3 linked regions of the Arabidopsis thaliana genome follow. The protein of the gene in region 1 binds, or shares a complex with, the protein of each later gene. Each region holds a gene or a part of one and is shown on either strand. Other genes may lie near its edges.

Evidence for each region.
Region 2: PRPL28 (region 1) and emb2394 share a complex: the UniProt entries of both Arabidopsis thaliana proteins name them as parts of the 50S ribosomal subunit.
Region 3: PRPL28 (region 1) and EMB3126 share a complex: the UniProt entries of both Arabidopsis thaliana proteins name them as parts of the 50S ribosomal subunit.

What each region holds. Positions count from the first base shown.
Region 1 is NC_003071.7:14,170,885-14,176,174, forward strand, and holds PRPL28 (Ribosomal L28 family), read left to right. Parts: upstream 1-2,694; 5' UTR 2,695-2,735; coding exon 2,736-2,934; intron 2,935-3,259; exon of another isoform or gene 3,260-3,263; coding exon 3,264-3,496; 3' UTR 3,497-3,705; downstream 3,706-5,290. Other genes in the region: AT2G33435 (RNA-binding (RRM/RBD/RNP motifs) family protein), read left to right, coding at 1-28, 696-737, 851-940, 1,162-1,272, 1,392-1,481, 1,575-1,654, 1,748-2,342; RIC1 (ROP-interactive CRIB motif-containing protein 1), read right to left, coding at 3,706-4,142, 4,245-4,323, 4,413-4,513, 4,620-4,677.
Region 2 is NC_003070.9:1,500,961-1,506,754, reverse strand, and holds emb2394 (Ribosomal protein L6 family), read left to right. Parts: upstream 1-2,901; 5' UTR 2,902-3,016; coding exon 3,017-3,051; intron 3,052-3,493; coding exon 3,494-3,793; intron 3,794-3,903; coding exon 3,904-4,240; 3' UTR 4,241-4,504; downstream 4,505-5,794. Other genes in the region: GLR3.4 (glutamate receptor 3.4), read right to left, coding at 1-638, 762-1,113; AXR1 (NAD(P)-binding Rossmann-fold superfamily protein), read left to right, coding at 4,980-5,065, 5,158-5,330, 5,425-5,588. UniProt on the Arabidopsis thaliana protein: This protein binds directly to 23S ribosomal RNA and is located at the aminoacyl-tRNA binding site of the peptidyltransferase center.
Region 3 is NC_003074.8:23,440,702-23,446,495, forward strand, and holds EMB3126 (Ribosomal protein L1p/L10e family), read left to right. Parts: upstream 1-3,501; 5' UTR 3,502-3,567; coding exon 3,568-3,897; intron 3,898-3,971; coding exon 3,972-4,151; intron 4,152-4,243; coding exon 4,244-4,298; exon of another isoform or gene 4,299-4,559; coding exon 4,560-4,687; intron 4,688-4,814; coding exon 4,815-4,898; intron 4,899-4,967; coding exon 4,968-5,093; intron 5,094-5,181; coding exon 5,182-5,319; 3' UTR 5,320-5,629; downstream 5,630-5,794. Other genes in the region: scpl40 (serine carboxypeptidase-like 40), read left to right, coding at 1-161; AT3G63480 (ATP binding microtubule motor family protein), read right to left, coding at 364-480, 562-741, 835-946, 1,041-1,132, 1,214-1,433, 1,513-1,588, 1,742-1,775, 1,859-1,900 and 7 more; TTA2 (fibronectin type III domain protein (DUF1423)), read right to left, coding at 5,630-5,794. UniProt on the Arabidopsis thaliana protein: This protein binds directly to 23S ribosomal RNA.

The sequences.
Region 1 (5,290 bases):
TGACAACGTGGAGGACTCATCAAACAAGGTACAAATAATTGCCCTAAATTTGCTTCTTACGACAGTGGGTAAAACTTTTTATATCGAAAATGAGTGTAGAGTGTCTTTTAAATATCTCTTAACGTATTCCCTTTTGAAAGTACTGTAATTGTATATGTCAGTGACCCTTGGTTTATAGTTCAGATCAAATTTTTAGTTTGTGCCATAGTTTCGATACCACTGTAATTTGTAATCTCTTGCTCTAGAGACAAAACATCGGTATTTCTAAATTTGACTTGGTCCTTTCCATTCATGGTTCATGATGTGGGGCATATCTTGGAATTTTGTTGCATGTTTTTCATGCTGACAGCTTTTATATCCTTTTCCGTTTAATTGTCTGTCAGTAGAATATCAATTTTGTTAGAGTTAACAACAAAGGAATAAAACATGTGGCTGGATCAACTTTTTTGTAAGTTTGGCTGGTAGTAGGTGTTATGATCAAAAGCTTGTTCATAGTGGTTCAACCTGGAAAGCCAAATGTCAGACCACCTTATTATAATCTTAAAGTGAAAAACACGCAGAGAATAGAAGTGCAGTTCTCTCCGCAGCTACGGCATCTTTGTGGTTGATAATGTTGAAAGCTTCACTGTATTTGCTTGCTATACTAATTTCTTTTTCTGTCAAGCTTGATATTGAGCCTAGTGTACTTGTTGCAGATCTTCATTGGCGGATTTTCAAAAGCTATTTCATCTGAAATGGTATGCTGAACTGTAATTCTTTGAAAACATTTGACACGTTCAATCTTCTATTGTCCCCATTTCTATCGTTTCAACTTCTAGGATTGTCTGATTCCTCTTTAACGTTTTTCCAGCTTATGGAGATTGTCAGCGTCTTTGGACCTTTGAAAGCATACCGGTTCGTGAGCAACAATGATCTCAATCAGCGATGCGCTTTCCTAGAGGTTAGAATGTACTTTTATTTGTGGCCAAGATACCCCCATCTTAGTCTGCCATCTCGATGTAGTTCTTGTGATTGTTTCATATCTTTAATTTTTCATTTTCCGGGTAGCATGGGAAGGTGTTATTACCTTGTAACTTTTACAGAGTAACCATGAATGTGACTGTAGTTCCAAGTATATTCATATTAACCAGCCCTAACTCTTTTTAAATCTCTATATTTCAGTACACTGATGGATCTGTTACCCTCAAAGCTTGTGCTGGTCTAAATGGTATGAGGTTAGGTGGCAGTGTAATAACAGCCGTTTGTGCATTTCCTGATGCATCATCCGTAGCGGTAATTCAGTGACCCAACTTTGCTTTCGTTAGTTCATGTTGTGTTTGTATGGGTGACATTGAACAGAAATTCCTTTAGTTACTTGTGAGAGTGGTGTGTGTACGTAATATGTGTTGCAGGTGAATGAGAATCCACCATTCTATGGGATACCTAGCCATGCAAAACCACTTCTTGGCAAGCCTAAGAATATTCTAAAGCTAAAAAATGTGGTAAGCATAATTGGTGTATCCTTTTTCTTGTGAATCTTTCCCAAATAAACTATGTGAGGCTATATTAACATTCCATTCTTTCTTGTTTGACAGGTTGACCCAGAAGATCTCACGTCGTTTTCCGAGCAAGAAGTGAAAGAAATTTTGGAGGATGTACGGTTAGAATGTGCCAGGTTAAGCTCTGAGATCATCTTCCCATGAGTCCATTGAGCTTTTAAAAGCTAGTAAATTAAGAAAATAGGCCTCTGGGTCTTGTCATGATGCAGGTTTGGGGTTATTAAGTCGATAAACATCTTGGAACACAAGAGCAAAGATATCACTGTTTCTGAAACAAATCCATTGTTGAACTTAGAATCAACTGATTCTAAAGAAATGAATGTGTCAGTGATCGAGGAGAAAGATGAAGGATCCGAGAAAGCGGAAGATATTGCAGACAATGTAGATCTTGCAGAGGTTGTCATGCCAGACAGTTTGACAGGTGAAGACAAGTTATGTGAACCGTGCTCGGATACTGCTGCTGAAACAAGCACTCAAGAAAATGAAGATCTACACTCCACTGAACAAGAGCATTGTGAAAAGATTGTTGAAGAAAGTGCGCAGGCCGAGGCAGAGAATCCACAAGAAGTAGCATCAGTGCGTACCGTGAAGACAAGATGGGATGCTGGCGACAAGATAGAAGAAGAACAAGAAGAAGACCCCGAGGATGTATTTGAGACGGGTTGTATCTTCATTGAGTACAGAAGACCAGAAGCGACATGTGATGCAGCCCATTCTTTACACGGAAGGCTATATGATAACCGGATTGTGAAAGCAGAATATGTTTCTAAAGAGCTTTACCAAATCCGGTTCCCAAGTGGGTAAATAATCCCACAACAAGTGAGACTCTGTGATTCTTCTCATCTTTACCACATAACCGGTTCAAACCGAGTTCAGAGATACATAGCATCTACAATCAAAAACCCTTCAAAAATCTCTTTGTAATCGTTGGGATTGATCAGGTTGGATTATTCATCACCACCTGTGTCTCGTTACTTTTATGTATTAGAGAATCCAAGAAGGGAAAGATGAAACCATACTATTGTGTTGGTGGCTATATGGACCGGTTTGCTTACTGAAAAATTGTTGTGTTAAAAGAGAACGTAACCTTCTGAATGAGAAAGCGTCTTTCATTTTCTACAAAATAATAAATAAAATGAACCCAATCTCCTTCTTTATCCAAATCCTCCTTCGAAGCAGAAGTAACAGCAACCAAAAATGACGACAATGGCGACACAAGGCGCTTGGCTACGAATGACCTCATCAGCCAAGTCCATGACCAAGTCAACCGTGACTTCAAAGGAGCTTGGATTCCTCACCTCCCAGCTCAGCGGCTTAAGAATCTCATATACTCCCAGTGACGTCATCAACCGTATCTCCCTTCCTTCGTTCCCCGGGATTCAGCCAATCGTCGCACGTAATTCCCCTTTTCCCTTTCTCTTAGGGTTTAGTCGAATGCATTGGCGTACTAAATTTATCTTGCTTTCGTTTTATTCATGTCGAATTTCGAATCTCTGAGTTAGCAAGCTTGTGTTGAATTGTCTGGAACTATGTCTTTGCTTTTAGATATGAAAATGAGCAGTGTATTTAAAACCCGTAGCATAATTTCTCGTATTAAACTTTTCCTTTGAATTTGATGTTATGTTAAAAAAATTCTCCAAAATTGACCACATTTATATGATTCTGAGCATTGGGCAATTTGCTCCTTTTTTCTTGAAACTGTGTTTTTGTTTTCCAAAATGTCAGGTAGAATCTGCCCTTTTACTGGGAAGAAAGCAAACAGAGCAAACAAAGTTTCATTCTCTAACCACAAGACCAAGAAGTTGCAATTCGTCAACTTACAATACAAGAGAGTTTGGTGGGAAGCTGGCAAACGTTTTGTCAAACTTCGTTTATCAACTAAGGCTTTGAAGACCATTGAGAAGAACGGACTCGACGCTGTTGCCAAGAAAGCCGGCATTGATCTTCGCAAGAAATAGATATGATGATCGCAAAGTTTATTATATACATTTCTTGCTTCTCCTTTTGCAGTACTCGTACATTTCCTTTCTAGATTTTGGTAAGTATCAATGGAATCTCTGAGTTGTTGTATCAGACACTGTCAAGAAAAGACTTTAAAGAGAAACGAAAACAAACTCTCACTTGCAGGTGGCTCAAATAATACATTTCATGGTTTTGTTTATGTTTCTCAGATAATATCGTTACAGGTTGTATCAACTGAATTCTCGGGTTTTCCTTTTGAAGACTTCTTAATCGAACCTTCTCCTCCTGCTGATGATCCTTTTAGTTTCCTAGGACGCGATGTAGCCTTCCGTGGAGGAGCTGAACCATCAGGTATTTGATTAGGAACTTCTGTGTCTGGAGCCGGGATACCACCACGCCTTCTGCGAACTGATGGTTCTTGATCATTCGATGAGTCTGTTGACCCGTGTGCGCTTCGGTTATGTCTTGAATGCTTTGATGGTTCATCTGATGATGCAGCATTTCCGCTACTTTTTCTAGGCGGAGACCCGTTATGATTTGGAGAAGCTGCTCCTCCGGGTTTCCGCCTTGTTTTCTGTTTCGGTTTCTCGTTTGTGTTCGAAGGCAGTAACTCTTTTAGCCCGGCTCCACGTTGGTTCGTCCCTATTGAGATACACATCAATTCCTCGAACCAATCCAGATTTGTTCCTCAAAGCTTAACACTTTAAGGGAAAAGGAAAAACACACTTTGCAAAAATAACTAACCTTGCGGGTTGTATTTGTTGGAATTTCCCCTGGAAACGACTTGACCTTTCTCATGTTCTTGAGTTTTAAAGTCATTCATCTGCAGTTTTTGTCCCATAAAAAAACAATAATGAGCACAGATACGTGTGACATGTATGAAAATACGTATAAATGTACGTATGATCTTACCCAGCTTGGTGTGGTGTTGGTTGGACCGTCGGAGCCAATGTGGGCAACATGCTTTACATCGGTCGGAAATCCTATCTGCATCTCCTGCTCTTTCTCTTCATCTGCAATAGAATAATTACATCCACCATGTAATTTGACTTTTGACACAAGAAACACAAATGATTTTTCATTTTTTTCATGTTTATGGGGAAAATGAATGAGACTCACCAAAAATCTGAGTAATGTAACGAAGGCCCTTAAGAAGACCCTTCATTGTCGTCGCCATTGGTCTATAAAGGGTTGGTTCCGGCTAATGTGTATCCACACGCCGGATACAACCTTTGTGGTTCAAGATTTGACGATCGTTACCGTAAACCTAACATGCAGAAAAAGAAAACGAAGAACAAATCAAGAAAAAAGTTGTAAGGCACAAACAAAAAAACAACAGAGAATATAACGAAATCTGAAGACTTAAACCTTGAACGCATGGATTTTCTCTTGACGAGAAAAAAAAATGTTGAAATGTTTTGAAGAGAGAGAGAGAGGGAGGGAGGGAGAGAGAGAAGGATCGAGAGATCTCCGAGGAGTTATTGGTTAAAGATCAACAGACCAAAAAGAAGAAGAGGAAGAGCACTAAGTTTTGTTGTTGTTTTAACAGAGGATAAAAAAATTTAGAAAAGAAAGAAATATTTTCATAGTTGTAATTAACAGATAATTTTATAATTAGATTGTTGATTGGTAATGGAGGCAACGTAGAGCTATTATCAAAGGGAACCCTCCTTTGGGAAACAAGTTGTCAAGAGGATTTTCCGGGTCGAATGGAAGGAGACACGACCACACCAATTTCTTATTTTACTAATAAACATACTCTAATGAAATCTAAGATAGTATAAAGTATT
Region 2 (5,794 bases), on another chromosome or scaffold:
CTTCCATCTCGCCATAAACTGTCTTTTGACACTACTCTCGATTGTGTAGTGGCGAAAAGCAACCACTCCTTGCAAGAGATCCATCGTGTCTGAATCCACGTGCTCCATGGAATCCATAGCTGTAGGAAGCCAGTCTGTTGCGATCCAAACATAACCACTTGCCATCATTCCAAGAGATTTAGCCACAGAAAAAACGTTTAAACCAGAGTCAGGATTCACATGGACAACAAAAACCCGAGATTCCATCAGATTAACAGAAACCAACAAGTCTCTGATGGAGCTAGAATCTGCACCAGGAGTAATTGCAGCCTTGTAAGAGATCCTCGAGCGTTTCTTGGCTAATACATCGCCAAGGACAGATATCCCGTTCCTGCCACACTCATCATCAACGAATATCGCAATGACTTGTCTCCATCCGGAATATGATAGAAAATCTGCGATCGCATGCATTTGGAAGTAATCATTCTGCGTGGTGCGGAGGAAATAAGGAAATTGCAGAGAGGAGAGAGTCGGATCCGTTGCTCCAAATGACAAGAGAGGTACATGAAGCTCATTAGCTACATAGGAGATCATGTGAGCAATCCCTGAAGATTGTGGACCAATGGCTGCAACCACTTTGTTTTCCATCAGCTGCAAAGCTACACCATAAGATGAAACATAATCATCACTCATTCTTTGGGGGCATTTTCACAAACTAGTTCTGAGTTAAAAAGTTGGCCACAGTAGTAAGAGAGAAGAAGAAGGAGAAGCAGTATATATACCTCCCATGGTGCCGATAAATCCACTGCAATTTGAGTCTTGAAAGATGATATTAAGCTTGATGCCCTTAAGAACACTTTGGTCAGCATTAACATCATCCATAGCTGCTTTAACCGCGGGTTTAGCCGCTCTTCCGATAAAAGAATCATAAGTAAACAGAGCTCCAACATTCACAGAGCTTGGCCTCTGTCTTAATGGCCGCAAAGAAGAAGAAGAAGAAGAAGACGAGTTTCTAGAGAAATTACTTCTACAAGCACATTCCTTTGGAACAACCCACAAGACAGAAACACATAACAACACAACTCTGATTGCTTTCGCCATGGAAACTTCTCTTATCATCACCAAAAATCCCATCTTTATCACAATTTCCAGCAAAAGCACTAGTTTTTCTTTGTCCTGGTCTCATATAACCATTTGATTTATTTGGAGTAACACCTGCGAAATAAACAATGCCCAACCTGAATCAAAATTGAGATTATAACAAAAGACAAAAAAGATGGTCCAGAAATCTGGTGAAAGAAGGCAAAACCAACCAAGAAATCGGGAGTTAGATTCTGTAGAGAGATTGGTGTATACAGATTTTTGTGTCTGTATATTTATTTATAGTGTATAAAATAATGTATTTATATGAGGCCCTTTGATTCTAGAAACTGGTGCTTTACATGTGCAAGTAAGAACTGAAAATAATGAAGTGTAAGAGGGCCGTCTTAAAGATGGTTCGCAGAGAAAGAAGCAAAAAGTGTAATAAATAATTCAATGAACAAATAACTAAAGATTATATATGTAAGAACATAAAGAAAAACAAAAATTAAAAGATCCAATTGAGAAAAAGAAGAAGCAACCTTGGAATAAATACGAGAAACAAACTTTAATCAGAGATCCATAATCTTCACAAGTAAACGAGTGATTTAGCACTAAGCATAAAGAAGAAAGACAGAGAAAAGAAGTCGAAGAAGCAGAAGAAGAACTGTTTCTGAGCTCAAGCAAAGAATAATTCATAATATTCTCTCTCCTTTTTTTTCCCTATTTTCTTCCTTATCATTACTTATTTTTTTGGTATTTTATGAAATTTTGTAAATTTTGTTTTGGAGTGCTATTTCTGGAGTGGTCAGTGAAGACGTAGGCCAAGGTGTGGGGTAGTATGATCGATGCTTTACTTGTGTCCTCATACTATTCGATAAATCAAATTTTTACGTTGGCTCTTATTGGTAACTATCATTTATTAAGGTAGTTGATGCATTTTTCTTTTTGGTTACAACGGATATAGTTAAATGGTAATTAGGGTAACTACGTATGACATGAGGCAAAATAATAATTGAAAATGTGAATGTGAGGAGTGACGACCTAATTGCTCCAAGGCCGCCTTCGTCAAAGAATAAGTCTCCTCAACGGTTGTCAAATCAATTTCACACAAAAAAAAAAGAAAAGAAAAAGATATTTTCAGACATAAATAGTAAAGTAATTGTACTATTGATTTCATATGATAAAAGGTGCATGAAACACATGGTCGACTATTTTTTGTCTTTAGAGTGTTCATTAAGGAATGTTATTAAAAAAAACTTATAAGAGCTGCATTTGTTATTACATAGTTCCTTATTGAAATTTTCATTTGTTAATTGTTAACACAAAATAAAATATGCCACTGAATCCACAAATATCTTGTCGGTATCGAACTTTTTATTTATTTAGAACAAGAATATCTTGACCAAATGAAATGTGAACCAGGAAAATAAATATACAGTTCATCTTTTTTTTCTTTGAATCTTCTCAATTTGTTGTTTGGATTTTTCTGAGGGTAAGGGCCCATTTCATTTTTAAATTTGTCTGTTAAGAGTAGTTTAAAATCCATGCCTTTAAAAGATTCGACTTGAAAACATACTTAATCGGGAAAGATGCACAATTTTGATCCAAACGCATCTACTAATAATCTATTGACTTCATTAATCTAATCCAAACTCCACGTTCATTGGGTAAATTTTGTGAACAGTTATTATAATAATGGGCCTAGAAACAGTGAGATAATAGGCCATGATCAATATAGATAAATGGGTTACACAAATAATGAATTGTCCCACAGAAGGATGGTTAAAAGTAATGGGCCGAAAATAGTGAGCTAATGGGCCGTGAAAGTAATGATTTGAAAGAGGGGATTACAGAAGCTGACGATGGATAAGTCTTTTCTGGATAAAACGCTCTTCTTCTTCTCTTCATCCTCCTTCTGGAGCAGAGCTTAGAGCTCCATCATCAAATCTTATCAATGGCTTCCTCACTCGTCTCATCTTTTCAACCCAGGTACTTTTCATATACTACAAACCATAGAGCTTCTTCATTCCGCTAGGGTTTCGTTTTCTTTACTTGGCATTTTCTACTCAAAAATCTCTATAAACTGTGTTCATGAGCCTCCCAAGTATAAGGAATCTCTTTGAATGGGTTATTTTTATCTTTTTAAATCGATGGCAATGTTGAATTGGTTATGGACTCTTGAAATTGTGGATTTTTATTTTGGGAATTTGAATGTGTTATGCGGAACTCACTGTGTAAAAAGCAGGATTCTAGAGGGGTTTTTAGCCATGGAAACTGAAAGTTCTACAAGAATGTTTCTCTTCCTTAATCTAACGTTATCTTTGTTCCAATAACAGTTTCTGTGTATTGGTTTAGATATATATCTGGTAGAGTTTTACTTTCTTGACATGTTTTATCTGAAGATAGATAGATAACTTCCCCTTTGTTTTAGGTCAGCATTTTTGGGAGATAGAAATGTGTTCAAGGTCTCAAGCACACCTTTTGCTCAAGTGGGTTACTCCAGTAAGACCATTGAGTGCAAAGAATCAAGGATAGGAAAGCAACCGATCGCTGTACCTTCCAATGTAACCATTGCATTGGAAGGTCAAGACTTGAAAGTGAAGGGTCCATTAGGAGAGCTGGCTTTAACTTACCCACGCGAAGTTGAGCTTACAAAGGAAGAATCCGGTTTCTTAAGGGTCAAAAAAACCGTCGAAACTAGAAGAGCCAACCAAATGCACGGCCTTTTCAGGTTACAAACTTCTCATCTTTTCTTGTCATCCAATGAAGTCCTTAACTTTTTTGAGGTTAAAAGATCGTTTGTTCTCTAATCTTTTTTTTTAACTTCTGTGTGACTTTTAGGACGCTTACCGATAACATGGTTGTGGGAGTATCAAAGGGATTTGAGAAAAAGCTTATACTTGTGGGTGTTGGTTATCGTGCAACAGTAGACGGAAAGGAGCTGGTGCTAAATCTCGGGTTTTCACACCCGGTGAAGATGCAGATACCGGATAGTCTGAAAGTGAAAGTGGAAGAGAACACAAGAATCACTGTGAGTGGATACGACAAGAGCGAAATCGGGCAGTTTGCTGCAACGGTTAGGAAGTGGAGGCCACCAGAGCCATACAAGGGGAAAGGAGTCAAGTATTCCGATGAGATAGTTCGGAGGAAGGAAGGAAAAGCTGGAAAGAAGAAATGATCTTCATTTTTCATTATTATCTACTTACTTATCTCTTCCTTTCAATGTTTATGTGTATTTGCTCAAATTTGTTTAGAAATGAAGATGTTTGTGTTGGGATTCTTGAGTAAGTTTTTAAAGGAACCCATTAATTGTTTTTGATGCTCTGACAAAAATTTCTTTAGTGCTTTGATTGAACAAGAACTTGGGCACAAAGTGCCTCATCGGTGTGATTCTATTGTTATGTTTCCTTATTGAACCAAACCAATCCAAATCGGACAAAAATCATGGTAGATAAACTTTTTAAAACAATTTTTTAATCTATTCTTCTTTTTTTTAATTACAAATTTTCTTATTTTCTTATATCTAAAAAATCGTAACAGTAAGATATTAATATCTGTATTCTTAATTTGGTAGATAACTTTTTAAAAAACGAAAATTTCCTATAAGAATAATAATAGTCGGAAATAAAACAAAAAACAATATCATGGTGATTATTCTTATTTGCTTATATCTTCTTCTTTTTCACAATTTTTTTTTAAAAAAAATATTTACAAAATTTTCTTATTTGCTTATATATATAAAAAATCAGTAAGATATTAATATCGATTTTTTAATTTGGTAGATAACTTTTTTCAAACGATAAATTTCCTAAAAACAATAAAATATTCGGAAATAAACAAAAACCCTGATTGAAGAAAAGTCTTTTTGTTTATCAGTTCACCGGAGGCAAAAATCGTCTCTCGCTTGAGCTGCGAAGATGCAAGCAGTAAAAAGATCCAGGAGACATGTTGAAGAAGAGCCAACAATGGTAGAACCTAAAACCAAGTACGATCGTCAGCTCAGGTATACATACTCTTTTTCCTTAAACTCTACTTCGAACTACTCTTGTCGGGAGGAAAATTGATGAAGTAGTAATCGTTGGGTTGACTGATTAGGATTTGGGGGGAGGTAGGTCAAGCGGCCTTGGAAGAAGCGAGTATCTGTTTACTCAATTGTGGCCCTACTGGTTCCGAGGCTTTGAAGAATCTCGTACTTGGTGGTGTTGGTAGCATCACCGTTGTTGATGGATCTAAGGTTCAATTTGGTGACCTTGGGAACAATTTCATGGGTACTGACTAATTTTGAAACTTTTTGATTGTGTTTCTTCTGGGGGTTTTGGGGGACTTGCTTGCGTTATGATGATTTTTTTTTTTCATGTGAAGTCGATGCGAAGAGTGTTGGCCAATCAAAAGCCAAATCTGTTTGTGCGTTTCTCCAAGAGCTTAATGATTCTGTTAACGCCAAGTTTATTGAGGAGAATCCAGACACGTTGATTACTACTAACCCATCTTTCTTCTCTCAGTTCACTCTCGTTATAGCCACTCAGGTACCATTGTTTTTCTATTTGTAATCTTCTCTAATGATTTGTGTGTTACAATTTTTCAAAGTTCTAATCTTTGCTTACACAGTCACTCACCATGGATCATGATACCTTCTATTCAATGTTCTTTAGTTAGTTTCTCATATGTACTTTTCCTCGTCCTCTTCACGGGATATTGCTTTATTAGGCTTCTTTTTCCTGTGTTATTGTTA
Region 3 (5,794 bases), on another chromosome or scaffold:
GTGAGGTGGGTGGATACACAGAGGAGTACAAAGGGAAATTGACATTTGCCACAGTGAGAGGGGCTGGTCATCAAGTTCCCAGCTTCCAGCCAAAGCGCTCTCTTTCACTCTTCATTCACTTCCTCAATGACACTCCTCTCCCTGACACCTCTCGTTACTAAATATTCTATCTGAGATTGTAATTTCTCTCTTAATTAGCTTTTATTCATCCTCCCATCCATTTTTTATCTACTATTTCATTACATACCTTTGAATGTTAATATCTGTTTTGCTCTCACGACCTAAAAAGAGAAACTTATCTCTTTACCATCTACTTGTCCACATCTTCTACATTACCAAGATAGTATATTCATTTTATCATCTTTAGGACGTAAAGAACGATGCATACCAAGAACTGATGAACCTTGACATCTTTCCGACCGAACCAGGTTCGTGATTGCGCAATGCTTGTTCCTGAATACCTATGTTTTCTGCTTCTAACTGCAAAGAGGAAATAACAGGACAGCTTGCATCATTGACCATGCCCACCCTCACTCTCTAATTATACATACACTAGTTTACCTTTTTGACTTTCTGTTGGAGTTCATCAACAGCCTGCTGTAAGGATTGTATAGTTTTTGATACAATATCTTCGTATACGGTTTCCACTTCAGCCATCGAATCTAGGCTGAAAATGATCCCTTCCTGTATAAACACATCTTCTAGCATTTTGATGTCTTCGTTGCTCATCCTCTCTTTCATCTGTATAAAATAACAATAATGCAAATGTATCTTCTACATCCCGTTTTCTGAATATTAGAGAGAATGAGGAAATGGCTGACGTAGAGTCTTAACCTTTTCTAGGATCCTCCCACATTTTTCATCTTTGGTAACCGAGGAGGGTTCCTCCTGTGCCTTCGCAGATTTCACTTCACTAGCACGTGGTGATGCTTTTATGTGTTTTGCCCTGTACAGTAAATGGAAGCAAACATCTCTCTTAAACACGTTCAATAACGTAACACATGGAGCAAGAAACCGTTACTGTGCTCTGAGATGCATACCTCATGCCAAACCTGAGAGTTGAGAGCGTCTCAGATGCATTTAAAGTGCTTGGTGAGCAACAGCAAAGCAGCGCCATTCGAGAATTTCCACCCTGTGGCATGAGAGACCACAATAGAATTGAGAACAAGCTAGAAAATTATAAAATAAAATCAACCTGAGAAGATATACTAACCAGGGCATCCTGTAAGATGCGAGTAAGCTTGGAGTCACGATATGGTATGTGATTCCCTTTGCTAGATGGCCCACTAGTGAGAGCGTTTATCACGTTCCCCAAGGCTGAGAGCGATTTATTGATCGTCTTCGCTTCTTCAAGAACCCTACCTTCTGCTCCAGTTTTGTCTGCTTTCTCTGAGCCAGCCAGGTCGACAAGAATCAGTTTTCCTGTTTTTACCCTGTTCACATGCCAGATATGTATATAAGCTCCACCACTACAGCATCACTTTTTTCTGATTAATTGTAAAAAATCGTTACCTTTTATCTTTAACTGAATCCTGCTGGATTGTGAACAAGTAGGCGCAGTGGCTTCTACTGCTGGACATATTCATTTCTGTCATTCATTGTTAAACTGGAAACATTCTTCAAGATGACTCTCAATCAGTTTTAACCTTTCAGTCAACTCGGAGTAGCATAATCATAATCTCACTATCGACTAAATGGGGAAACATTGAACAAGTAAGTGCTGTAAAAGCTAAGAGGATACGGGTTTCCCCAACTGCGCGGTTAGCTAAACCGGTCTGAAATGGCAATTGGCATCAGAAATAAGAAAGAAGAAGGCCGTATAAGGCAATTAAGAAACTTAGGGTAGCTGCTATCTTACGCATAGATGTTGTAATGCCTCCACCGAATCTGATACAGGCACCTGAAGCAACGAATGATTAAAACTTGCCTACCCAGTAAAGATTTTTCTCAACACTAGCAAATAGAAGATATAAGACAATGAAGCTAGCCTCTGTAACGCCTGACAAGAGTATTCCTTGTGTTTTGTTCTCCTTGATCTGTATGTTTGCTTTTGATAAGTCCAACAGGTCCCTGAGAGATATATGAATTTATCGATAAGCTATATACCCTAGAAGAAATCAGAGGGAATTACATACACAATACCTGACTTTCTCCATGTAGATCTCAACCTAGAGGAGACAAAAGACACGTAAGATGTCTATACAGGAGAGCTTGAAAGGAGACTTATAGCAAGTGCATTTAAGTCAGTACCATAGACAATTTAACAGTGTATCTTGCAATATCATTGGAAGAGCTGATTTGCTCAAACATCCCATGGACCACTCTTGGAAGAAGTCCTTTATTGTGCTCATCACAGTCCTGGATGCCTGGTCCCTGAATCAATCGAAGAAAACCAAAATGAGCCAGAAGAAGGAATGGTCCTTGTGCTACAGGAAGAGGTATCAAGATGAGTTAGGTGACCTCCATGGAATAAGTCTTCCCAGCCCCTGTCTGCATAGTATAACATGAAACGATCAAATTGAGATCAAAATCTGCCAAATTAAGAAAAAGACATTGAAAGCATTTCCAGATAAAAGAGATCAGGAGAAGAACAAACCTGTCCATAAGTGATGATTGTTCCGTTTATACCATTTACAGCGTCTGAAAGTAGTAGTAGTAGTACAAAGGTAAAAGATGCAAAAGACAAAGGTAGGAGGAAACCAAAACCAAAAATGTTGATTACATTGTAAAATCATAAGATTGGTGCTCAAATGTTTAGATCTAAAATCCAGAAGAGAAGATCAAGGAATCAATTAGTACCTCTCATGATGGGGAGAGCCAGAAACTCATAAACCGCAGCTTGGGTAGAGTCCTCATAAAAAACTCTATCGAGGCTAAATGTAAATTCATCTTCCTTGTCATCCTACACGCAAGTAAAAACGCTAGATAGAGTTTGAGAGACAGAGAGAGAGAGACAATATTAATCAAGCACACGGCGTCGAGTAGACAAACTTGGAAAACGAAGGTTTCAGCGTCGATGGGTCGAGCACAGACACCATCTCTGCTGGGATCGCGCATCTCTTTAGAGCTTCGCGGCCTGAATCGCGCACAGACGGTTACGTTAGACATCTCCTCTCCTTATCGGAACGAGCTCAGTCTACAGTGAAACACCCAAAATGAGTCAGCAGAAGATGAATGAAATTGGGGAAATAGTAGCACAGGAAATTTGAAGCTGAGAGAAAAGGAATCGGAACTTACCTCTCAAATGGAGTGGAGAGTCAGAGTAGGGTTTCTCTTACGGGCGGGAAAGAAGAAACTCGAAATCTGATTTTTGAGAAAAGAGAAGGAAGAAGAAGAAGGAGAAGGAGAAGAGGTCACGAGGATACGCGTGTGGGTTGTTAAAAGATCTAATGGTCCATAAGAAGACACGTGTCACTAGGAACACGGTAGCTAAGGTGCCCGCCACGCAGAGAATAATAGCTTAGAAAGAATAGGGGGTGTTGTTATCCCCTTGGGCGTGGAGTGGATTAGGGAGACTCGCACTCTTCTTCTTCTTCTTTGTACCCAGAAAGAAAGAGAGCTCCAACAATGGCTGCTTGCGCTACTCACTCCTCTCTCATGCTAGCATACGCCGCCGCATCCACTCGTTCCCAGGACCTTACCCCTACTCCATCTCTTTTCTCTTTTGCCAGCTCCAGACCCAACCACTTGAGCTTCCCGCTTCTTCTCCTTGGGGGTTCCAGGGACCGGAGATGTGCTGCTATTGACAGAGCTTCCAACCACAAGTTTATTGTCTCCGCCGTGGCCGCTGAGGCTGACCTCGACACGGAGGAGGACCTGGAGCAGACCGCCACCGCCGTCCTTGATCCGCCCAAGCCTAAGAAAGGAAAAGCCGCTTTGGTTCTCAAGAGAGATAGAGTATGTGCTTTACCTACTTCAATTTCGCTTCCTTTACTCGTGAATCATCACTTTGTTTGCTTACCCATTGACAGACAAGGTCTAAGAGGTTTTTGGAAATCCAAAAGCTAAGGGAAACCAAAAAGGAGTATGATGTCAACACTGCTATCTCTTTGCTTAAACAAACTGCCAACACAAGGTTTGTTGAGTCTGTTGAAGCCCATTTCCGTCTCAACATCGATCCTAAGTACAATGACCAGCAGCTGCGTGCAACGGTCTGCTTTGCCTTTTGCTGGATATACACTCTATCTTGTGCTGCTTCATTCCACAACATTTTTTAATCTCAATGCATTGTCTTTTTGTATAGGTGAGCCTGCCTAAGGGAACTGGCCAGACTGTTATAGTCGCTGTTCTTGCACAAGGTATATTGCCCCACCAAATTCACTGCTAGGACTTAGGACAGAGATTATGCTTTACCATTTCAGTCACCAAATTCACTGTTAGGACTTAGGACAGAGATAATGTTTACGGTATCAGTCAGTCAGTCAGTACTTCTCTAGATGCAACATTGTTTGGTGCGATTGACTTTTTATTTATATATTGATTGGATGGAGTTCTTGTGTATCATGTGGCTTATTCTTTCTAAATCTTTGGCTTGCACCATTTCCATGCTGAACTTCCAGGTGAGAAGGTTGATGAAGCCAAAAGTGCAGGGGCAGATATTGTGGGCAGTGATGATTTAATCGAACAGATTAAAGGAGGCTTCATGGAGTTTGACAAGCTGATTGCATCCCCGGATATGATGGTCAAGGTATGTGTTGATGATATAATGTTCTACTTGTTACAGCATATGAAACCGTCATGCTTGGCAAATAAGGTGGCATGAGATACTTGTAACTCGTGATCTATTTTCTAACATTCTTGAACTTGGCGCTTAGGTTGCTGGCCTGGGAAAGATTCTTGGACCACGGGGGCTCATGCCAAATCCCAAGGCTGGTACAGTCACAGCGAACATTCCCCAGGTAAGCCTACTCTGCAACATCTTTTCCTGATTCTGGTAGTCATGGCTTAAAGATGCATAAATCTCTCAGGCTATTGAAGAGTTCAAGAAGGGGAAAGTTGAATTCAGAGCAGACAAAACTGGGATTGTTCACATTCCATTTGGGAAAGTTAATTTTACAGAGGAAGACCTTCTCATAAACTTCCTTGCAGCAGTGGTAGGCTAATTCTCCATTCTTATTACGTATTTCTGTGGTTTAAAATACAAAAAAAAATGAAGAGGGAAAAGTAAATGATGAAATGCAGAAATCGGTGGAGACAAACAAGCCAAAGGGAGCTAAAGGAGTGTACTGGAAAAGCGCTCACATATGCTCGTCAATGGGGCCTTCCATCAAGTTGAACATAAGAGAGATGATAGACTTCAAGCCTCCCACTGCGAACTAATCGACAACGCCATTTGTAAATGGGGTCCTTTTGGGAGACGGGCAATGCCAGTGTAGACAGAGAAGAGAAACACCAAGTCTAGTCTGTTAGTAATCTTTTCACGCCTCACTGCTTTGTATCACTTTGATGGCCATTTGCTTCTTGTCGTTATTTATTTACTATTGCCTATTAAAATTTGGCAAGGGGCTGTACATGTCAGGACGCAGAACTCTTTAGTACTCTCTAAAAGAAAAGACCTTACATTGATCTTTAGGTTACATACGAGGAGGAGGTTTCTGTGTACATTACATGTGATTTACTACTACAAATATTACAAGGCCAGACTCTGCTTCGTCATTTCCATTTTGGTGAGAAGCCCTCTCATCTCTTCCTCCATTCTCATCTTCATTTCATAAAACTCTCTCTGCCCTCTCTGCATTGCCTCTAACTCCTCGTACCTCCTCCTCCTTCTCTCCTGTGCATCCTCCATACTCAA